2 linked regions of the Ovis aries genome follow. The protein of the gene in region 2 interacts with the protein of the main gene of each other region in a pairwise test. Links are inferred from orthologs where the notes say so. Each region holds a gene or a part of one and is shown on either strand. Other genes may lie near its edges.

Region 1 (3,500 bases), on a different chromosome or scaffold from region 2:
GATGTCACTATTAACAGCTTGCACTTGGAGTCTGAGGCAGACTGCAAGATGTTAGAGGGCAGCAGGCTCTTGAAAGTCATAATTGTGACTTCGGATGTCTAGGGTAGCGTGAAAAGGACTTGTAGTAATGAAGTGTTGTTCACCAAGGAAAAACCGTTCAGAGTCCTTTTACTGTCGGAAAGATGACATTGAACTGTCTCTGATAACTTGCTATTTTTTAAATTCATTGAAAAATCAGGAATACCTTCCAAGCAAAAAAAAAAAAAAAAAACCTCATTCTGCCATACCTTTTTGCTGTTACATTGTTTGCAGGTACTTTAAACAGCTAGAGCCGAAGCAGATGAAATGCATTATTATCTTTTTGCTACTTCATTGCCTGTAGATGTTTAGCAACTAAATGCAACTGGAGTGAAAGCAGATGAAAGCATTATCTGATTGTTGATACATTTGTGAAGTGTTGAGAGTTAAATCAAGATGGATTTATCCTAGTTTAAGACTTTTAACTGTCCATGTATTCCCATTCCCATGATTTTTTTTTTGCAGATTAGCTGTTATGAAAATAATGATAGAAAGCAGACTGAAAGATATTTAAATTAATAATTAAGGACTGATTTTGAATTTTGTTCCGTGTATTATTGAGAAAGAGTGCAAATCTATGTGTTATTCTAGTATCCTTAGAGATCATTACTGCTGGGTAGGATACTACTTCCAAATTTGGCTTTAGAGAATTTAATGTGGATAGTTTGGTTATGTCTCTGTGCTGTCTTCCTGCAGTGGCAGTTACATAGCGTTGCTCACTAATTGTCATGTTTAAAATGTTACTATTTTAAATTATTTGCGTTTCCTACTTTAGGACATTTGCCTTTCTGCTTTTAGCAGATAAAGGTAAATATTTTCTGGATTGTAATATGTCATGGACTTGGAAAAGAGGTGGCTTTTAATCTTAAAATAGAGTCAGTTCTATGAAATAATGCTCATATTACTCATAGGATATGAGTAAATTTATTTCGTAAGCTAATAACAGAGACATAGAAAGTGTCAGTTGTTTAGGCCTAGTTGAAGTATAGAAATCTTGCATCCTCCTCACCTATAATTTACCATTACAGTGCTGACTAAGAATAACGCAGTCACCTGTACATATAGAAATGTTATAGTACATTAGTGTCTGCGTTTACTGCTAAATTGTGTGGTAATTTTTACTATATTCCTGAATGCTTTTTAGAAAAACTATTTTACACCGAAGAGGATAATCACATCCCTAAAGCTAACTTCGTTTTCAGCGTATTATTTATGTAATTCTACCACTGTCAGTGTTAGTTTGTGTTTCCAGTAGTGATTGTCCTGATGTAGATGCAGATTACTAAATTCATTGAGTGCCTACTTTGCATGCTTGATGGAAATGATGGTTTTCTTTCTTTTTGCTGTTCTTTCTTTATCTTTTATTCCTTCTTTAAAAAAAAATCTTACAGTTGCTAGACAGAGCTTCTTACTTTAGGCTCATGAAGGACTTTATGTTTCTATAAACCCCTCTGGAATTCCATGGAAAATTTTATTGTCCATCCTCTTAGGGGGGGGTTCTGTAACTTTTGTCAACTTTTTAAAGGGCTCCATGTCTTAAAAAACATTGCTTTAAGAGTTTATCCAAAATAGAGAAAATTAGTACTTGAACTTACATAGCATAGTATTTACAATCAGATACTCAGCCCTTCATGATGTTGGGTATATTGCTTTAATACCTGTGGCAGAATAACCTTCAAAAAGAAAACCTAAAAGAAATTACAACTTTTTTTCCTAACATAGACAATGAGTTACAAGGCACTAATAGTTCTGGATCGTTGGGTGGTCTTGATGTTCGAAGACGAATTCCTATAAAGCTCATCTCCAAACAAGGGAACAAAGCCAAAGCTTCACCTCGAACTCCAAGGACTATAAACAGGATGCCTGCAAAGGCTCCAGCTGGTGATGAAGGTAATGTGTTTAACAGGTCCAAAAGTCTTTCTTTAATATCTGATTCCACCAAATAAGCCATGTGAGTTTATTTACTTTTAGCCACTTCTTTTTTTATCTTAAATATTCTCTTCTTCAGTCTTCGACTTCTCATTTTGGCATATTTTACTTGCTATCCCTTTATAAATATTTTTGATTTATTTTCTTTTGTTGTTGAAAGTAACACTGTCTATTGTTTAGAAAAATCTAAACAGTATCACAGAAAACATGATACTAAAGTAAAATTGTCCTCCCATTTTTATTCTCCCCTCAAATAATCCCTGGTATGACATCTTCATAGTTGCTTTATAACTGCCCCCCCCTTTTTTTGTACGATGCATGTGAGATTCCGCTTTCTCAGTAGATTCAGATATATCTTATTTAAGAAGATGGGTTTAGGTATTTCACTTATGGATATACCATAATTTATTTAACAATTTTTTAAAACATTTTACTGTTAAAGACAATTTTGCAATAAGTGTCCTTATTTATTTAGTATGTATGTTTTGTAGAATACACACCTTAGTATGTGTATTTTAAAACTTAAATTTTGCATGAATTTGGGCATTTTAGAACTTGATGGATTTAGAATCTATGCATTTTAGCATTTAATAGATGTTGTCAAATGGTTCTTAAAAAATAGTACATCACTTTATACTCCCACACCAATATTGGTACTATTATCCTTTGCAGATTTTTGTACTGATACGCATTTCTTTAATTTATGAGTGGTGCTGTATGTTTTCATAGTATTGGTCATTTCTTTTTTCTAGGCTCTATCTGTTCATATCCTTTTCCATTTTTTTCCTGTTTGATTGTTTTTCTCTTGGTTTTTATGAGTTCTTTATAGATTAACAAAATTGGCTTTTGTTATATGTTGTGTATATTCTCTATTTGTCTTTTGAATTTTATGTATAAAATTTTTATTGTAGAGAAGCTTGACAATTCTTTGTAGTCAGACATTCAGTCTTTTCTGCTGAACTTCTGGGTTTTTTGTCATCCTTAGGCCTTTCACCATTTCTTGAGTATAAAACAGTTTTTATGGCCTATGGGCCAAATCCAGTGCTATGCTTTATCAATAAAGTTGTACTGGAACACATGCATGCCCATTCTTTTACGTATTGTCTGGCTGTTTTCGGGCTTCCCAGGTGGGTCAGTGGTAAAGAATCCAGCTGCCAATGCAGGAGTCTCGGGTTTGATCCCTAGGTTGGGAAGATGCCCTGGAGTAGGATATGGCAACCTGTTCCAGTGTGCTTGCTTGGAAAATCCCATGGACAGAGGAGCCTGGTGGGCTGTATATAGTCCCTGGGGTCACAAGGAGTTGGACATGACTGAGCTTAGGGCGCACCACGAATAGCTGCTTTCACACTATATTGGCATAGTTGAGTAATTGCAGGTATGGCGGTATTTACTTAATTGGTCTTTAGGCAGATAAAGTTTGCTGATCGTGGCTTTGGAACTTTTATGGATGTATATTTGGTTGTTAAAACAAAAATGGGGTGTGACTTGAAGTG
Region 2 (4,273 bases):
CCAGCTCTCCTTGTGTTCTTTTTTTCCTTAGGCGGTCTGTCTGTGCCTCAATGTCTGTATAGGACTCTGTCTTATCTGTGGTGTCATTTTTGTTTTGTTTCTGTTTTTTAAATTAAGTGTGGTTAAACCCTTGTGATGAATATATTAAATAAATACATTTTGGGGTTTTTATAGCAAAAGAAAAATAATTGACATATAACATTGTACACATTTATCAGAAACAAAATGTTGATTTGACACATATATTGCAAAATGATTACTACCATAATAGCTAACACTTAGCTAACACATACCTAACTCATTGCTAACACCCCCATCATATCACATAATTACCATTTCTTTTTAAACACACTGTAGTTCTGATCATGCTTCAAGGGTAAAAGGAAAGATAATGTCCCTTACATGAGACATTGAAGCGAGTTATTTGCAAATGACAGGTTTGGCTGATCTCTGATGGATCTCTTCCTGTCAACATTAAAGGACAGATTGAAACCTCCAGCTCCAGCTGGAAGATTATGTGGGGCCACATGAGCTGAAGCCAATAGAACAGGCGGTGGAGGTGGGTTCCAGTCTTCTATATATCAAAGTGGCTCAGTTGTGTCCCAGTCTTTGCAACTCCATGGACGGTAGCCCACCAGGCTCCTCTGTCCATGGAGTTCTGTTGGCAAGAATACTGGAGTGCGTTGCCATTCACTTCTCCAGATCTTCCTCATCAGGGGATTGAACCCAGGGTAAAAGGAAAGATAAAGTCCCTTGCATGGGACATTGAAGCTAGTTATTCTTGCAGATTCTTTACTATCTGAGCTACTACTTCCTACTGGCCTCAAATTCTTTATGCCTGGATTGTCCCTCTATTAAATGGGAATAATAGCACAACTCTTGTGTTGTTTTGAGATGAAGTAAGATGGTTAATGTCAAATGCTTAGCACAGAGCCTGTGACACAGTAACTTTTAATGCCCAGTATCAATCGTTACTTATTGTCCCTCACATCTGCATAGAGCTTTTGTGGTGCACGAAACATTGGTCTTAATTAATTGTATGACAACTTCACAACAACACAGGAAGGGATTTGTGATTATTTTACCATTTAGTAGGTGAAGAAACTGATACTTTGAAAGGGAAGATTCTGCCCAGTGAACTGATCTGTCGATTCAAGAAGCGATGGAGATCTGAAGTAGGTAAAGGGTGAAATCTCTCTGGCGCCAGATGTTGGTGAGCCACCGCGAGGCTGGTATTCAAGTCTAATGGTAACGGGAATCGTGGAGCCCCTACCATTGCGTTACTCTGACTACTCTCAGATCACCCGGTCTGCTCGCGGCTCCGGGGCGGAGCGTCCGCCCCAGTCAGCGGAGGAAGCGGAGGCCTTGCCGCGCCGCTCATTGGTTGAGGCCGGCAGGTGCATCCTCAGCCAATCCTGGTGCCGGGGGCGGGGCCGTCGAGGCTCACCTGGCTCCCGCGGCGCCCCGCAGCTCAGTGGCGTCCGGAGCCTCTTAGCACCTGTGAGTTCGTAGAAGTTCTGCCAGACTCTAGCCCGGCCCAACTCAGCTAGATCCTACTCAGCCCGCGCCCGGCCTGCCATGGGCCCTCGGTGCCGCAACCTCTCTGCGCTCCTGCTGCTGCTGCAGGTACGTTGGGTCCCCTGACTGCGCGGGATGCCTTCCGGCCCCATAAGCCGCGCCCCAGCCCCCAAACTCCTCTCTTCCCTCCTGTCGTCCCCTGCTCCCTCTTATTCTAAAAAAGTTTGGGTCCAAAGGGCCTGAATGGCCCGGAAACTGCGCCGCGCTCTGGACTCCATGGGGAAGGGAGTGGGAGAGGGAGCCAGTGAGGGTGAAGGGCGAGTACGGCTTTGCGGACGGCCTCCCGCAAAAGCCAGAGGTGGGGGCGCGCCTCGCTGCAGCCTCCGGGTACTCGGGTGGGCGACGGGCGGGGAGTAGAGGGCGTGGAGTAGGGATGGGGAGCCCCGGTGTAAGTCCGGGCGGAGCCGGGAGTAGTGGGAACGAGGAAAGGAAAGCGGAACCAACAGATAAAGTCACCTGCCCTGTAAAGTGTAGTGAATAGGTATGCCCCCCACCCTCCCCGGGATAAGAAAGGATGTGAAGAGGCTGGAGCGCCGGCGGTCTGAGGAACCGGACTTAGGAGTGCGAGCGGTCCCGGTATAGGGAGAGTGGAATTGGGAAGAGTAAAGATGCCTCCGATGAAATTGAAAAGGAGACTTTCAGGAAAGCGCTGCTGAGGCCGGAGGGGAGCCAGCAGCCTTCCCTCCTGAGAAGTCCTGAAGGCTTGGCGGCCACAGGTTTCCGAATGAAAGAGTTTGACGTGGCTGGCTGGCTGCCCTGTGGGGAGGAATGGGGGGAAATGGGGGTGGGGGAAATGCGGGAGAATGGAGGGGGTGGGGAGGTTGGGGGGGTGTGGGGAGTGGGCGGGGCGGGCCCACCCCTCCCACAGTCCTGGTGCCAGCAGAGGGAAGGGAGGCGCTGCTGGTTTCGGTGTGAATAAGAGGAGACCCCCCCCCCCCACCAAGTCACCCCGGTTTCATACCTTTCCCCTACCCCAGGTCTCATCGTGGCTCTGCCAGGAGCCGGAGCCCTGCGTGCCTGGCTTTGGCGCTGAGAGTTACACGTTCACCGTGCCCCGGCGGAACTTGGAGAGAGGGCGAGTCCTGGGCAGAGGTGAGGGCGCGCCGCCAGTGTCCCTGGGGTGGGAGTGGGCAGGGTCGGAGAAACGGCGCTCCTACGCCCGCGAGCTGGCCTGGGCGAGCACCGTCTTTCCTGGCTCTGGTGACACACCTTTGTAGATTACACAGATGCGAGGATCTAAACTTTTGCCAGGATAGACGTTGGGTTTGAGGGGCTGTCTTGTATGGTTGACTTAGTTATGGGGGGCACTTATTAGGGGCCTTCAGTGTGTTTCATATTATCCTGACCACTTTAAGTCTGTCTTTTCCAACGTCTAAAACCTGATGTGTGGGAAGAGGGTGGTGGGGGAGGTGGCAATTCCCGTTTTTTTACAGATGAGCAAATGGGAGGCTCAGGAGGGTGGAGTCCACTGGCCCCAGGGTCAAAGTAGGAATCTGATCTAGGTTCTGACTTCCAGGCCCCATTCAGCATCTCTGGGATGACTGAGGAGTCCTCTCTTGGTTACCAGGCTGTGGCTTTTGCTCATAGAGATGAAAAAAGATTTTTTTATACAGGTACTGTTTCCCCAAGGAATAGTGGCACGTGCGGTTTTTTGGTGTTTTTTTTTTTTTTTAAGCCTGGTAGCCCTGACTCAGGAATGAAAAGCAGACACAGTGTACTTCAGGGTCTTATCACTGTGATAATCAGGACTCTAGATTTTGGTTTGTTTCACTTTGCCCGGGAGTGAGAGCAAGGAAAGGTTGGTTTCTCTTCTGGTTTCACTGATCTCCAGGTGCTTATTTTCTACCAAAGGGCTTTCTCCTCCCTCTTGATTTAGTTGATTGGACGAGTATCATAACAATAAAAGAAACATTTTTTGAAAGGAAGACTCACCCACAATACCCCTAAGGGAGTTCACTGTTTATTCTTCCAGTGTTTGGTCACGTGAAAAATGCAGCAATCATGCTATAAGATTTTTTTGGAACTTTGGAAATTGTTCCAACAGTAGGCAATTTTTTTTTTTTTTAATAGACAAACTGCAGTTTGATTGATTAAACATATTTGTTTTTCTGAGGCCCGTCTGTGTTGTGTGGAGCTTTCTATTGGGTCAAAAAGGAAAAAATGAAGTGTTGTCTGCTTGATTTTGCAGTGAGTCCCCCATTTCTTGGCCCATGTCAGATTGATGTTCTGCTGGGCCCTGCTGGACCCCAGGAGTGATTGAGGACTTAAAGGAATACCCCACCCTTGCCCTTGGTATTTCCCATTCCAGCAGGTTGATGAGAAATGTCCCAAAATGTCCCAGGACCTGCTTAGAGGACACTGTGGTCTATGGGCACGTAGGTGGCAGTGTGGTGGCCGGGGATGGGTATCAGTGGGGAGCAGAGACTGGCTTCTGGGAGGAGGCAAAGTTGACTGAACCTTGAATTCAGGGCAGAGTTTAGAAACTGTGTGTACATCTGTGTGTGGGGTATTGCAACACAAGTATTGGTCACTTTGTTTTCTTTCACCAAGACATCTGGTAACACCAGAGGTGAGCTAGTCTAGTTTTTATCCCCTACCCCCACCACCAAGTTCTTATATCTGACATGATATTATTATTGTTACATGATAATATTATTACATGATAATAATACAAATATTATTATTATTATTAATA

Evidence for each region. The genes of interacting proteins can lie anywhere in the genome.
Region 1: the proteins of CDH1 (region 2) and CBLL1 interact in a two-hybrid assay, tested with the Homo sapiens proteins (2 studies listed by BioGRID, with this or other methods). The link is inferred for Ovis aries from reciprocal best matches to the Homo sapiens genes CDH1 and CBLL1.

What each region holds. Positions count from the first base shown.
Region 1 is NC_056057.1:50,277,666-50,281,165, forward strand, and holds part of CBLL1 (E3 ubiquitin-protein ligase Hakai), read left to right. Parts: intron 1-1,800; coding exon 1,801-1,968; intron 1,969-3,500. UniProt on the Homo sapiens protein: E3 ubiquitin-protein ligase that mediates ubiquitination of several tyrosine-phosphorylated Src substrates, including CDH1, CTTN and DOK1. Targets CDH1 for endocytosis and degradation.
Region 2 is NC_056067.1:35,612,558-35,616,830, forward strand, and holds the start of CDH1 (cadherin-1), read left to right. Parts: upstream 1-1,473; 5' UTR 1,474-1,578; coding exon 1,579-1,626; intron 1,627-2,539; exon of another isoform or gene 2,540-2,555; coding exon 2,556-2,670; intron 2,671-4,273.